Linked DNA regions of Drosophila melanogaster. The main gene of each other region encodes a partner of the protein of the gene in region 3 in a complex. Each region holds a gene or a part of one and is shown on either strand. Other genes may lie near its edges.

Region 1 (4,183 bases), on a different chromosome or scaffold from region 3:
CCCGGGAATCTGGAGCCTATATCGTAGAAAATGCCAAGCATGTTCGTATTCTGCCTGCAGGCATTGAGAAACTGACCCAGGAAATCGTAAAAGGCCTAATAGAAAAACGCATTGCTGTGGAAAACTTCTCGCAGCACGAATTACATCCCAATCCAAATCAGCCGGAGGATTATTCCAAAGCAGCCGACTGGGTCTTTGTGTTGGACACCCTGAACTTTTGCTTTTGGACCCCCAGTGAGTAATTGATATTTATAGCAGCATCCACTATCTTCAATGGTAATCTTCCGCAGATAACTACACCAAATATAAGGTCGATGGCTATACCGGCTACTTTGCGCTGTGTGCTGCGATTAAGAGAGCCATCAAGGAAGGCGTGGATGTGATCAATCCCAAGTTCTATTCCCAGATTGATCTGAAAACCGTGGAGAACATTTTCCGCTCTGACGATGGCGAGACAGTGATTCCGCTGCTCCAAAAGCGTCTGGAATCGCTCCATGAAGTGGGAAAAGTTCTGATCGACAAGTACGACGGCAGTTTTGAGAATGTTATCAAGAAGGCGGAGAAATCGGCAGTTCGCTTGCTGGATCTCGTTGTGGAGGAGTTTCCCTGTTTTCGCGATGAGGCTGAGTTTGCTGGAAAGCGAGTTTCCATCCTAAAACGAGCGCAAATCCTAGTGGGCGATGTGTGGTCCTGCTACAGAGGTCAGGGACTTGGGTTCTTTAATGACATCGATCAGATAACCATGTTCGCTGACTACCGAATTCCCCAGGTGCTAGTGCACTTCGGCAGTTTGGAGTACACCAGTGAGCTAATGGAGTTCCTAAAGACGGATACTATTCTGGAGAACGGCGATCCCCGAGAGGTGGAGATACGCGGCGCATCTATATACATCATCGAACAAGTTAGGGATGCTGTGGTGAAGATACTCAAGGAGCAGCACCCCGAAATCTCACTGGACAACGTCAACTCCATTGTGATCGACCAATATCTGTGGGACTACCGGCGTCGGCACAATGCCGACCTGGAGCACATTCCCTTCCACAAGGTGCTGAGCATCTACTACTAACGACGGCAACACAAATAAAGACGGTTCTTTGTTAAACTGAATTGTCCTTTAATTATCCACACGCGGGGCAATCATCTACAGAGTAACAGGCTTTGGCTTGCCCTTCTGGGAAGCGATGCGCTCGTTGTAGCGCTTCACGGACTCCTCGCGGGAAAGGTTTCCCTTGCGTGCGTAGCGCTGGTTGATCAGAAATTTCACATCCATCTAAAGACGGGAAGGTTGTTAAAATCAACTCTAGATGCTAACTAAATATGCATATTTTTGAATACTTACACCCAGAGTGGACTCGTGGCGTTTGCGCAGCGGGCGCTTGATGCCATTACGATGGGCCTTCTTGTTCTGGTTGTGATTTGTGTGGTTCTTGGACTTGGCCATCTTAAACTACTCCGGGTATCCAAAGATTCGTTGATGGGGCGGCACATGAAAACAGAAAAAATGTTCGCCATTATAATTTTAGCTTGGGGTTAACACTTGGAGTTCACTTTTAGCCAACGCCAGTTGAACAAAAAGCCAACAACTGTTGAAATTTTCGTTGCATTTCTCGTGTATTAGGCACCTACGTTTTTCGCACACTGGAATTCCTAGCTGCAATTGAAGATATTATAAATAAAAATAGCCAATTGGAAAAACGCGGAGCACACTTACGGAAACGCGATGGAAAAGAAGGGAAAGCCAGAGAGGCTGTCATAGAGCGCAGAAAAGGGACTAAATAACGCCAACCACGTGAAGATATCGTGCTGTTATCTGCGTGCTGTTAGGCGCACTTGCTTCCATCTCCAATGTAAGAAACGTAAACAACTTTGAAAAGTAAATATTCGAGTTTGAGAAAAAGATCCACTAAAGTCAAATAATGAGATTATACGGTACAAAAATCTTAACAATAATTACTCTGTTTTACTCTGTAAAATAAAATTTGCTAAGATTAAAAAAATACTGAGGTAAAATATAAAACTATCGCATAGTTAATACTAACGCGTTGTCGACTTTACGCTTATGCTTGTTTTTGTTTTCATTGCGTAGGTAAACAAAGTGTTCAAAAAACAAATTTATTATATTGTTATAATATCGAAACAACATGCCACTGACTGCGGAGAGTGCCGCCCAACAGATTCAGGTAAAGATGTTAACAATAAATGTCGATATATACTATATTTATATGGCATTTACAGGATCGCCTGAAGGACATTCAACAAAACATTCACAATGTGGACGAGGAGCGTCGTCGTGCGGAAAACTCCATTGCTAGTCTGGTGCGATCTCTGCACGCCACCAATCAGAAGGTTAAGCCCCTGCTCAAGGCCAGTTTAACGGAGGCTGCGCAGGAGGAGGCCACAATCCGAGCCGCACTGGCGAAAATCCACGAGATTCGAAGCATTCGCAATGAGAGGCGCATCCAAGGTGGGTTAGTGATGGGATGTATAAACAGGATTTAATCTCGCATATTCCACAGCTCGCAACGCTGGAAATAAGGAGGCCATTCGACGGGGCGCCCTTATGAAAATGGTGCAGCTCTCAGCGCAAACGTTGCCGTTATTCGTTGGCAAACTAGGAGAACGAGCACCAGCTCTATGTGGAGCCATTCCCGCCGAGGGGAACTATGTGGCCAAGGTAAGCATTCATTTTGATTGGACAAAGAAGCTGGGATGATGATCTGACTAATCGGACGCCACTGTATAGGTTGGCGACAATGTTGCCGCATTAGCTAAGGGAATTGATGAGGAGGAGAACTGGATCCTGGCGGAAGTGGTGCAGTTCCTTCACCGTCAAAACAAATACGACGTAATTGACATTGACGAGGAGCAAAAGGATCGCCATGTGCTGAGCAAGCGAAAGGTCATCCCACTGCCTCTAATGCGTGCAAATCCTGAGACCGATGGTCACGCCCTCTTCCCCAAGGACACAGTGGTAATGGCGCTATATCCACAGACCACCTGTTTCTACAAGGCCATTGTCCATCGCCTGCCGCAAACCGCCACCGAGGATTACGAGGTGCTATTCGAGGATTCATCGTACACGAATGGCTATGCCGAACCCTTGCCGGTCGCACAGCGCTATGTGATTGCATATCGTCCAACGAAAAAGGGGGCTGGCAGTGGCAGCGGGAATCTATCATCAGCATAAAAAATGTATTATCTTAACTTTAAGAATTAAATGTAATTGTAATAATAGCTCCAATTAAAATTGTATTCAATTCACAATAGACTGGTTTCTGTCTGGAATAAGAAGAAAGTAATTTCAGGGTGGTATTTTAATACCGGATTTTTTGGAGAACGGTTACATTGATTTCCTAAAAAAAATAAATAGACTTTAAAGTTTGTAGGAAAACAAAGGGGAAAGGCAGGCTTATAAGATGAGTAAAACGAGCTTAGCGACGCAGACCAATGGCACGGCGGAAAATGGAAACTGTTTTGATATCCTCAAAGTGTCTAATTTGTTCGAAACCAGCCTTCTGGACGAGGATGACGTACAATTAGACGCATACTTGGCAGCCTACGAGGAAATAATGAAGTAAACTGAGTGATTATGATGTTTATGTTTTTTAGTGGTGCTCTATTGGGCTTTCGGTGTTCATTAGGTTCTTCCAGCTCATGGGCAGTGTCTTCAGTTTTGTCAGCAGCGATGTGCGCAGTAAAATAGATATCTTATACGCCCTGAGAGCCAAGGACGCGGAGGAGCAGGAACACTTTAATACCTTCAGAACCATGCTGGATTACGAGAAGGAGGCCCAGTTGCTTACTCAGAAGGGTTACGTGTCTGGCAGTCGAACGCTGCTACGTCTTCATCGCGGTCTTGGTGAGCGTTATGCGCATATAACTGCCACAGTGGCTAATTGATTGGTTTCTTCTTATCTAGACTTTGTCTACGAGTTTCTCAATCGGATCCAGGCGATACCCGACGACCAAAAGACTGTGGACGTGTGCAAGGAGGCCTACGATGACACCCTGGGCAAGCATCACTCATTCCTCATCCGCAAAGGAGCGCGCCTGGCTATGTACGCGATGCCCACTAGGGGAGATCTTCTCAAGAAAGTGTGCTCCGATGTCGAGGCGGCCAAAGAGAACCTGCCTTCCATGCTGAAGCATATGAGAACCAACTACGATCGCACAGAAGACCTCT
Region 2 (5,028 bases), on a different chromosome or scaffold from region 3:
CCGCCACCCTATCGCGAACCCTTGCCTGGGACCAACTACGCGGCCAACAGTCGACCCAGCGTCATTACCCAGGCTCCACCCAAGCGAGAACCACCGGAGCAGGCCCACTCTACAGGTGAGAAGTCATATATGCACATTAGTGTCAACGATCATACTAACCTGATGCTTTGATTTGCCTTGCAGATATGGCGATGTGCGACATTGACGAGCACTTCCGACGCTCACTGGGCGAGAACTATGCTGCCCTGTTCGCCAAGAAGTCACCGACGCCTACGCCAACACCCACGCCCTCGCCAAGTGGTACACCTAAGCAGCAGGTTTCGCCACTGGCCTACGGACTGCCTTCATCAACCAGCACAGCGGCATCGCAGCACTACCAGCAGCAACGCTCGCCGCTGGCCAAGTCGGGATGGGTCATTCTGGAGCCCGAATCGCTGCAGCCGGAACTGCCGCCGCCGCAGGAGGAACCGCTTCCCCTGTCGCTGGCACTGCATCGCACCCAAACGCCGCCATCGCCGCCACCTTCGGCCACGGGATCGGCACCAGCGCTACCCACGGCCGTCAGCCAGGTGATGGAGGCAGCGGTGGCGGGCAGGCGGATCCTGGACACGCCACACCACACGCCGCCGAGATACAACACACCACCGCCTCCACCGCCGGCTTACGGAATAGCCGGAACCACCGTTGTGGCGCCGACTTTGACACCGACACCAACTCCGAATCCGACGCCGTCGCAGATTCCCACGCCCACGCCCAGCATGCCGGCCATCATTCGGGTGAAGGCTGAACCGGGACTGGCGGCCGTGGCTGCCTCCTCGACGCAGACGCCGCCCGCTTCGCCCACCTCGTCCACGAATATCTCGATATTCACCAAGACTGAAGCCTCGGTGGACGACCACTTTGCCAAGGCGCTGGGCGAAACTTGGAAGAAGCTGCAGGGCGGGCACAAGGAGTAGAGGAGGAGCAAGCGAGCAAATCACCCACCAACCCGCACACAACCCGATCCCGATCCCGATCCCAATTCCCAACAGAACTCAACACAACCCAACCCAAAAGCAACCCCTGATCCTCAACGATTCAACTCAAGAGCTGTTTTTATTATAAATATTTCAAACTACACAATTAACGTTTAAAGATCTCATGCTGATGTGAACGGAAATTCTTCAACTGCGAGTGTATTACAAGTTTCTGATATAATGATTTTATTGAATATTGATAACGGTTAGCGCGCGGATATAATTATATATATATATATATGAATATTTACATATATATGGATAAATGTGTATGACAAAGTGTATACGTACAAGTGACAAAATTTTGTATTCTTAACGCTTAGTTGGTAGAGACTAATCCTTAATAATATACCTATTAAACATAAGTAAACAATCCTACAAAGTCTGTCTATTCATTCACCGAAAGTGGGAAATAAACTGCAAAATTTCAGATTTTGAATTGCATATTTTGAATTTTCAAATGACTGTTGGGCGGCTAACAGAGCGTTAACAGCGCGCGCCTAACAGCACACAGTGCATGGGCAGCCAATGTGCACACACCACTAACGGCAGACGGAACGGCGACAATGCCATTCACAGCGAACGATAACGATTGTTGGCATTCGCACGGCACGAATCGTACAGTACATTTACATTGCAAAAAAAAGCATAAAACAAAGTTTTAAAACAATTAAAAGCGAGCAATCCTCGGCGTATCATTAAAGAACCAGCCCACTGTTCGCCCCATAACCGCAGCAGAGCGCGCGACCTTGCAAATTCACGGAGCAGCAGCGCCAGAAAGAGAGTTCGTCGGCAGAGGGGCGCAGAGAGAAAATGTCACGCAAAGCAGCAGCAGCAGTGGAAGTGGAAAAAGAGTGAAGAAACCGCAGTAATCGCCATCGGGATCCGATCTCAGTGTCCTCCAGTGCAGCGATTCGTCACACAGACGGACCGAGGAGCACCCCAAAACGATCCTGATGCGGCACAGCCGAGTGCTGAGTGTGGCGAAACTAACCGATGGACAGCAGCAGCAGCAGCAGCAGCCAGCGAAAGTAGGAGACAACAACGGAGCCCTGCGTCTGCGGTCCTAGAAATTCGTAATTCGACGTTCACTGGCAACACGGACACCTGCTAGCGCAATGCGAATGCCGCCGATCCTGGCCAGGATTGTTCGTAGACTGGTGCTTGGATGTCGTCGGTAATTGGGTGCGCCATCCTCCGTTGGATCTCCCCTAGCAATCCGCTGGCACCACCATGCAAAGCCTGGACTCCTCATGCCAAGAAGCCGACGTAAGAACTGTGGCATTTTTCATGCAGCCTGAATACGATTAATTCCCATTTTACACTTTATTTTTCGACAGTTTATTATAAATGACACGCTCAAAAAGTTAAAGGGTTCCAGCAACGCGGACCATGTCCAGGGCCTAGCGGTCCACGCCCACGGTTCGGGTGTCCACCAGACGCAGTTCGTCCAGTACGGCACGTCTGGATCCTCGCCGCAGCTGCAGCCGCAGCAGTCCTACCATCAGCTGCATCCCACGCTCCAGCAGCAGCAGTTCGCCTCCTCGAGCAGCAAATCGTACCTGGAGACCAGCCTATTGCAGGCTATACCACAGATTCCTGCCCAGCCGCCCATTTGTATCTTCGATGACGACGAGTCCCCCACCGAGGGCACTGGCGGCTCACTGGGCAGCCTGCTCACGGAGCCGACCTCGGCCACGCCCAGCGGCCTGCCCACTGCAATTGCTCCGTCGCCCTCCTCGTGCTCATCCTCCACCACAACGATGTCGAACTTCAACTCAATCACGTCGCCGTCGCCGGTGGTGCCCGATCTTCTGCTGTCGACACCGCCGGGCGTTAACTCCAGTCTAAGCAATAGCTCAACGGGAGCGGCCAGTGTGTCCAGCAAGAAGTCCGAGAAGCGGCCACCCTCCGCCAACTCAACAGCCAGTGGAGGCGGCCACCACCTGCACCATCATCACCTCCACCAGACGCACAATCACCATGTCCTGGCATCGCCCACGTCGTCGCCCAGCAAGCGCCAGAAGTCCAATAGCAGTAGCAAGGAGAGCAGCTCCTCTAGTCGCAGCTCAGCTATACCCGCCGCATCAGTCTCCACAGCCACCTCGTCGTCGCAATCAGCGCGCGCTGGCGCCGGCGCTGCCTCCTCCAATAGCAACAGCAAGCCACCTTCATCCGTCTGCCAGTCGGGCAACAGCAAGTTCTTTAATCTGCACGAGAAAATAAGGGACCTGTACCTGCAACTGCTGAGCAACGACCTAAACTACTTTGCCGAGACAGGGGTAAGTGTTGAGCCAATCAAAAGCGGAAACCTTATGTAAGGACTCTTATCACTTTCAGCTAAAGCAGCGCACTCGATCCTTTACACTGGAGCGGTTGGTGGATCGGGAGAAGCTCAACACGATTGTGGTCAACTTGTATCCCGGCAATAAGGGATACTCGCTGGCCCTGCATTATGACGAGCACATGGTGCTAAATCCGCAAACAAACGAATGGTCCCCCACGGACAAGGACGAGACCTCGAGCGATGCTGCGGGATTGGGTACGGGAACGGGCAGTCATCGGAGTCGTCCCAAGCCGCTAGCCCAGGACGAAAGTCAATCCAAGACGGAGGCGGGTCACGCCAAACACGATTTTGGACTCGTGGAGGTGCTTCGGTGGCCCTACGAGAACGATTTGCTGCTGCAATGCATCGATCGTGAAATGCTGCCGGAGTTTTTAATGGATCTACTCGTAGCGGAGACCGTCAGTTTGTCGGATGGCGAGGGAACACGGGTGTACGCCAAGCCTAGCGTCTTCTATGCCGGCTGCGTTATCGCCCAGATCCGCGACTTCCGCCAGACATTTGCCACCTCAACGAATATCTGTGATATGAAGCACATCCTGCTCAGGCCCACGAACGCCACCCTATTCGCGGAAGTGCAGCAAATGGGCAGCCAGTTGCCGGCGGAGGACAAGCTCGCCCTGGAGAGCCAGCTGGTGTTGGCCACGGCGGAGCCGCTGTGTCTGGAGCCGGATCCCAGCATAGGGCGGCAGGCCATCAACTCCCAGCATCAGCGTCAGCTGTACAACTCCCACGAGCTGCGGCGCCAGATGAAGAAGTTCACCCAAACGGCTATCAATCGGAAGCGCAAGTTGGACCAATTCACTCACCATCACGGACTGGAATTGTGCGATTACCTGGCTCGCCTGCGCCAGCGACCGCGGACGGGAAGTAGCAGTGGTGGCGCCAATGCCACACCGGCCACGGCGCCCACCAACAATCCGCTGGTGGGGGCCATGCTCTCTTCGTTCACATCGAAGGTGCCCCGGCGACCACACGAGGTCATACGGCCCATTCGTCCGCCCACACTGGAGTATCCCGCCAATCTGAAGGTGCCCGAGCACGTGATCAGCGTGGAAAAGTATGCCAAGGCCTACGAGCCCCTTAACGAATTCAGTGAGGCCTGCAAGGACGGTTGCCAGCCAAACTGTCGTCATAACTTCCAACCGCAGCTGGTCGAGGAATACATTCTTGAGACGGAGCGGGAGGCGAGTGAAGGCCGGCGGGCTCTATACCACATAAAGCTGTCCATTTTCCAGCGCCCCTCCGATGCAGAGTATCTCGGCGAGCTCTATGTGGACCGAGATTACCGGGAGGGTGAGCGAAACGGCGAGTCGTGCCGCTTTGCGCTGGGCACTCGGGTGCATGCCAATCGATACATTCAACAGTTCCGCGAGATCTTCACCGAGGAGGGACGTAAGGCGGTCAAAATCACGCATTTGATACCCGGGCATATGCCAATTGTGACTCACACGGGATTGACGAATGAGCAGCGGATCCTCTTGCAGCAGCAACAACAGCAGCAGCAGCGTCAAGCTCAAATGCAGCAGCAACAACAACAGCAGCAGCAGCAAGTCGTTGTTGTTGCCAATCAGCAGCAACAATCGCAACAACAACAGCAGACACAACAAGCGGGACAGCAGTTATCCGCCACAGTGCATCATGTTGCACTGCCGCGACAACAAATAA
Region 3 (5,641 bases):
AGTTTTATGTGTCATTGTTCGAGTGCCTCACTTTGTCTGGAGGGATAACAGAAAGTGTAAGATTGTCTGACCGACTTGTCCTAGGATTAACCTGCTCTTAAATGCTGCACTTTGTGGAGGATCAAGCCAAGCTGTTGCCCAGCTCCATCAAGGATTTGCAGGCGAGGCGGCATTTCCGCATCCCAGTTGGTCCGATTCTCGCACTGGGGCTTCTGCAATTGCCCGTCTGCATGGTGTACAACCTGGTGATGGCCATCACCACGGACTTCCAGTCCACCACGTATACCACCTGTAATGCCTTCAACATCTTTCCCTCCACATCGGCGGCTGCCAAGTCTCAGCACAAAGTGTGGGCTCTGGCTTGCTACCTGGAGTTCCCATTTCTCATTGCCAGTGCATGGCTGCAGTTCCGATTCTATCGGAGGAATCTGCGCAGGCCGGTCCGAGGTTTCGGCTGCCTGATGGCCATCATTATGGCTGTCAGTAGTTCCAGCGTACTGCTATGGGGCACCTTCCCCCAAGAGGATGGCGACTCATTGCTGCACATAACCATCGCCTTGTCGCTATTCGTATCGTGTGCCATTTACATGGCAGGTTCCTTTGTGTGCGCCAAGTACTATATGAGCGATAGGATTGGGCAGCTGCATGAGGAATTCTCCTTGCGGTTGAAGAGCGGTCTGGTGCTCACCTACTACGTCTGGGTGGTGGTCATGTGGATTTTTTACTTTATACACCAGAAGTTTTGCTTTCCCTTGGGTGAGTAGAACCTAACCGAATGGAAGGATGTCTACAATTCTAATCCCCGGATCCTCTGCAGCCTACTCCGTATTCGGTATGGGCGAGTTCATCTCCTGTGAGTGCTTCTTTATCTATCTATGCACGGTCTACTTTGACTTCTACCACGTCTACATATGTTACGACCAACGTTTGGGTTTCTTCCTCAGCGAGATGTAAACAGTTCCCAATTCCTTATAAAATGTATTAAACAAAAACAAGCAAAAAACATAAAAGGAATGCTTAACGTTACGTCTCGTAGATGCGCACCAGGTCGTCCAGACTGATGGGATAGTGGGTGACCGGGCAGGTGCCGTGCTCCTTCATGTGGCTAACGATGCACTTCCAGCAAAAGACGTAGCCGGAAACGGAGCAGGCAGTGGGCGTCTGGATGGACAGCAGGCAGACTGGGCACTCTCCCCGCTGGGGAAGGCTCTGCTGCACTTCCTTGGGCAGCTGCTTTCTCGGCATCGCTTCGGGATTTATCAGAGTTCCACCCACTTTCCGCCGCTGGTCGTTGGAGTACCACCACTGGACGAACTGCAGGAAGAAGGCCAAGACCTCCAGCATCTTTAGGACCACGTAGGTCCACTGATCCTCTTTGGGAGGTTCGCTGGGATAGCGAAGGGTCAGCCCCAACAATCTGAAGATGGGCGAGTGGTTTGAGGCGTACTTTACGAGGTAAAAGAATGTGTGCGCCGCCTTGGCGGCATGGAAAGCATGGAATGCGCTTAGAAGGCGTTGCTCCCAGGGACTGGTGTCCTCGTGCCTGGTGATCCTGGTCCTTAGCTTCCGCTCCACGTAAGGCATGAAGGTTAGCAGTGTGGCAGAGGCGAACTGCTGCCTGCGGTTCAGCAGATCCCCAGTGGTTGTGACCGTCCTTTGCAATCCGTAAAAGCTCTCACCGAAAGAGGAGGCCCTCTTGCGCAGATACAGGTACTGCAGCAGCCAAGTCAGCAATGGCGACAGCTCCTCCTGAATCCTCAAACTCCCCCATAGTTTAAAGTCCAGGCGTAGTCCAAAGTAGTCGAATATCTTGCTCAGTGCCGGGTAAATCAGGTTGTCCAGCGTCTCTGACGCTGAAATTTCGAAGATCGACGGCACATTTTGAAGGTTCTGGCGCACATTTGCCGCTTCTGCCATTGTGTTTATAGCATTTAAATAAATGGAATTAAATTCGAATACCAATTATGTTGTTATTCTTATCAGTACTGGTGTTATCGGGCTTGGCTTGAAAACAGTCGAGTGCTCATCAATATATCGATAAGTCGTTGGCACCATCGATAGTTGGGTTAATAATCTGGCAAGATTTGTTTATTTTGTGGTGCAGCTTCGTTGTTTATTTACCAACTGTTGAAAATATATACATTTATGAATTATACAAAACCAAGAAGATGAAAACCTCTGGCGCCAGCAATACTGACGAGCTGAACAAGTCATCGCACAGCAAAGTCAGCAAAAAGTCCACTAAGTCGCGATCTAAGTCGGCGAAATTGGAGTTGACTGGAAAGAATTCCCTGTCGGCATCCGCATCATCCTCCATCGCATCCGCAGTGAGCGGGGGCGTTGCAGTGGGCAGCCTGCCGGCCACGCCCACTCACCTAAACATGGTGACAACGCCCACCACGCCAACATCTAGTCTGGGTAACTACAATCTGTTTGACGCCTCATTTGCGGTAGCAGGAAGTGGTGGGCACGGACTTGCAGGCGGCATCGCGGGCGCAGAAGCCTCTGGCAACTCCAGTCGAATGGTAAGGATGCCAATCTCAGGGCCCTCTTATGGTACAAGCTCTCTTTACTGTAGGGTCATCAGAAGAGCTATGCTGGTTTCGATCCGCGCAGCATCAAGATCTTTTGGGAGCAGCACGACCAGACCGATGTGGAACTCTCCCAGGATGTGTGCGCCCGTTTGGCGGAAGATGCCTCCTACAAAGTCTGGGAGCTGATCAATGTAAGTCGACCGTAATACACCTCTTTAATCCCTCTAACCTCTTGATCTCTCAGAATGTCAAAATATACTCGCGCCACTCGGGCGGAGTGGTGACATACGACCTGGTGAACGAAGTGCTAAAAGATGCCGATGTGCCGCCTATGCTGGGTGCGATGGACAGCGACTGGGACCGGATCGACTATGACGGCAGTTTTTACTTTCACTCGGATAAGATCTTCGAGCTGAGCGCGGAGTTTCAGAAGGAAGTCAATCTGTGCACACCTGATGATGCAGACTTTCAGAGCATCTGCCCAGTGGAGGATAAGCACATGGACCAACTAAGACAGTGTGTCCAGAGTCTTGTGACGGCAGCCCTTTTTGCGGACAGCAAATCCCAGACGGCCGCCGTCTGCCATGCTTTTCAGACACCCCTGATGGGATCTATCTACCGAGTGATTGTGAGTAAGATGGTCCAGTTGCTAGCCTTTAAGCAGCAGGACCATTTGAGCCAGCGATGCTGGCGACTGCTCCGAGCATGCAACTACAACGCCACTGCTAATCACAATGCCTGCCGGCCGGAGTACTTCAACCTGGCCGAGGTACTGGTCAGCCAGCTAATGGCACCTTACGAAACTATCAAAGCTCCACACGTCGACCCAGATCCGGGACAAACCACCTCCATCAAAATGGAGTTTGAAGAAGAACTAAAGGTTGAGCCAGACCAGTGCCATAATCCGGAAACCCAGGAAAATCCGGAGGTCATGGGAGTAGAGAAACAGGAGCAAGAACCCCAGATGTTTCCGGGTGAGAGCACCATGGAACACACAATCTACAAGCTGCAATCGGAGGAGGAGGAATTGAATCCTCAGCCGGAGGCGGAACACCTATCCAGCTACTTTGCCTGTCCAGTCGGCAATGGCCTGGTGGACGAGCTGTGTGAAACTATAGGACAGCTGGCATCTCAAAGTGGTTACCTACATGCAGAGTGCCTGTTTTTGATCAAGAGACGCCTAGCGAGATTCTTCGAAGGTCGCCACGTCAGCAGTGAGAGAGGTAAATCATCCTTACAATTTGTTAGCCTGGATCCTTATCTTTGGATTTCTTAATTAAGACTTTAGGTATATCAGTAGAGCAGTGCGCGGTCTCATTGCCCTGGGAGAATATGCCTTTCGTGAGTTTATTCCCTACATCTACAAACTGCGCGTCGAGGAAATCCCGGATAGCCTGTGGCCGGATCTGGCTCCGGCTGCCATCTTCCTTGGCGGTCATGATGACGTATACCTGTATGAATGGCTGGAGTACGGATGCGGTGCTGCTCTGCAGCCCTTCTTGGTCCACTATGCGCGTAAGAAACACCCATGTGTTCCATGAAAAGCGGTTAAGTAACTAAAAATCATTGCAGGAGCCTACGAAAAGATGGTAACCAGACGGTATGTGAAGGCCAAACAACCCGCTTACAGAATAGAATCAGTGCCGGGAGTGCGTCGGTTGGAATGGAGTACTCTTGCGGCAGCCATGTGCCACGGAGACGATCCTAGCAAGGCACTCAAACCGAAGCCTACGCTCTGCGAGGCTTTCCCCGACCTTCAGTCACCAAATCTTCAGCTCAACTGCGCGGGCAACATCCGCTTTAAGTTTGCAGGATGCCGCCCGGTGCTGCTGAAGCCGAAGGTTGCGACTGTTCCCCACTCCGAAGACTCGCCTTCGTCGGCAGCGAACGGTGGTGGGGGTGGCGGTGCCAGCTCCGACATCCTGATCGCCAAACGAAAACTCTTTAAGCCCCTGACCAACGTGAGAAAGTGGTCGCCCATCAGTGGCTATCACTACCTAAGGATCTGAAAGGGACTTGGGAAAGTATTATAAGACCTTCTGGAGGTCCAGGAGGACCTGGGGATCTCAATAAAACTCTTCGTTTACTTTAGACTTCCTCTTCGGTCTTCCGAAAGGTGATACAACTTTACTCGTAATACATAAAAACACAGAACTAAAAGGCTTCTTCCTGAGGCGTATGTCCATTTAGTGAGCCCAAAGCGGGCACGGGCATTCCTGCAGCTTTCATCTCCGCCACAATCCGCTTGTTGATAATGTTTCGGATGTTGGCATTCACATCCGGCAGAAGTCCACCTGTTCGAGCTGCGTGCTCAATTCGCTGGACGACGTCGATTTCGCGGCGCGATGATATCAGGTTCGTGACTAGCGCCTTGTCCATGTTGCCCACCCGACCGATCCTGCCACAACGATGGATATAATCGGAGACGTGGAGCGGAAAGTCAAAGTTGACCACATGTCGAGCTCGTGTGGTATCCAGGCCACGACTTCCCACATCGGTGGTGGAAAGGACGTCGCAGTGACCGTTTTGGAACTGCTCGAAGCGGCCAAGACGGATCTTCATCAGCATATCCCCATTCAGATTTAAGCAGTTCACTCCGCTGTTGTTCAGGAAGATGGAAACGAAGTCACTGGTGGTGGACTTGTTGCTGAACACGATAAGAGGGCGACGTTTGGCAAGATCATGCTTCACGAGTGACAGAAGTGTGGCGGGCCGATCGGCCTTCGACAGCCGCAGGAACTTCTGCGTCACATGAGACATCAGTCGGTGCAGGTGCGGACTGACGACCTCACGGATGGTGTCCACGTCTATGACTTTGTGAAGGATCTCTCTGGTGTTCGTGGGCATGGTGGCCGAGGCCAGGATCATCTGGGTGCCAGCATCCTCCTTTTGCACCAAGTGGAACTGTCGAATAAGAAAAAACAAGCTGATTGAAGCCATTCCTTTGGTAATCGCCTAGAATGACTTACGGGAAATCTCCTGAGGAAGTAGGAAAGTTTGTCTGTGAACGTATCATCTAGGAGGGTGTCCGCTTCGTCTAGAACCAGATGACGAACCTGCTCCATGCGGTAGATGCCAGTGGTCACCAGTTTGCTAAGTGCACCCAG

The links. The genes of interacting proteins can lie anywhere in the genome.
Region 1: Saf6 (region 3) and Sgf29 share a complex: the UniProt entries of both Drosophila melanogaster proteins name them as parts of the spt-Ada-Gcn5 acetyltransferase (SAGA) complex.
Region 2: Saf6 (region 3) and Spt20 share a complex: the UniProt entries of both Drosophila melanogaster proteins name them as parts of the spt-Ada-Gcn5 acetyltransferase (SAGA) complex.

Annotation. Positions count from the first base shown.
Region 1 is NT_033778.4:21,291,318-21,295,500, reverse strand, and holds Sgf29 (SAGA-associated factor 29kDa), read left to right. Parts: upstream 1-1,854; 5' UTR 1,855-2,004; intron 2,005-2,059; exon of another isoform or gene 2,060-2,086; 5' UTR 2,087-2,141; coding exon 2,142-2,180; intron 2,181-2,235; coding exon 2,236-2,464; intron 2,465-2,516; coding exon 2,517-2,674; intron 2,675-2,743; coding exon 2,744-3,187; 3' UTR 3,188-3,262; downstream 3,263-4,183. Other genes in the region: CG9752 (uncharacterized protein), read left to right, coding at 1-234, 291-1,066; RpL29 (ribosomal protein L29), read right to left, coding at 1,142-1,270, 1,340-1,441; CG30392 (uncharacterized protein), read left to right, coding at 3,417-3,574, 3,642-3,859, 3,920-4,183. UniProt on the Drosophila melanogaster protein: Component of both the SAGA and CHAT histone acetyltransferase complexes, which both predominantly acetylate histone H3.
Region 2 is NT_037436.4:13,501,100-13,506,127, forward strand, and holds the start of Spt20 (Spt20), read left to right. Parts: upstream 1-1,607; 5' UTR 1,608-2,249; coding exon 2,250-2,285; intron 2,286-2,356; coding exon 2,357-3,298; intron 3,299-3,356; coding exon 3,357-5,028. Other genes in the region: Tgi (Tondu-domain-containing growth inhibitor), read left to right, coding at 1-115, 184-956. UniProt on the Drosophila melanogaster protein: Component of the transcription regulatory complex SAGA, a multiprotein complex that activates transcription by remodeling chromatin and mediating histone acetylation and deubiquitination. The SAGA complex predominantly acetylates histone H3.
Region 3 is NT_033779.5:812,359-817,999, reverse strand, and holds Saf6 (SAGA factor-like TAF6), read left to right. Parts: upstream 1-2,049; 5' UTR 2,050-2,168; coding exon 2,169-2,525; intron 2,526-2,578; coding exon 2,579-2,725; intron 2,726-2,778; coding exon 2,779-3,757; intron 3,758-3,815; coding exon 3,816-4,049; intron 4,050-4,106; coding exon 4,107-4,543; 3' UTR 4,544-4,686; downstream 4,687-5,641. Other genes in the region: CG15880 (uncharacterized protein), read left to right, coding at 102-756, 818-954; Pex12 (peroxin 12), read right to left, coding at 1,024-1,917; Dbp21E2 (DEAD box protein 21E2), read right to left, coding at 4,689-5,438, 5,504-5,641. UniProt on the Drosophila melanogaster protein: Component of the transcription regulatory complex SAGA, a multiprotein complex that activates transcription by remodeling chromatin and mediating histone acetylation and deubiquitination. The SAGA complex predominantly acetylates histone H3.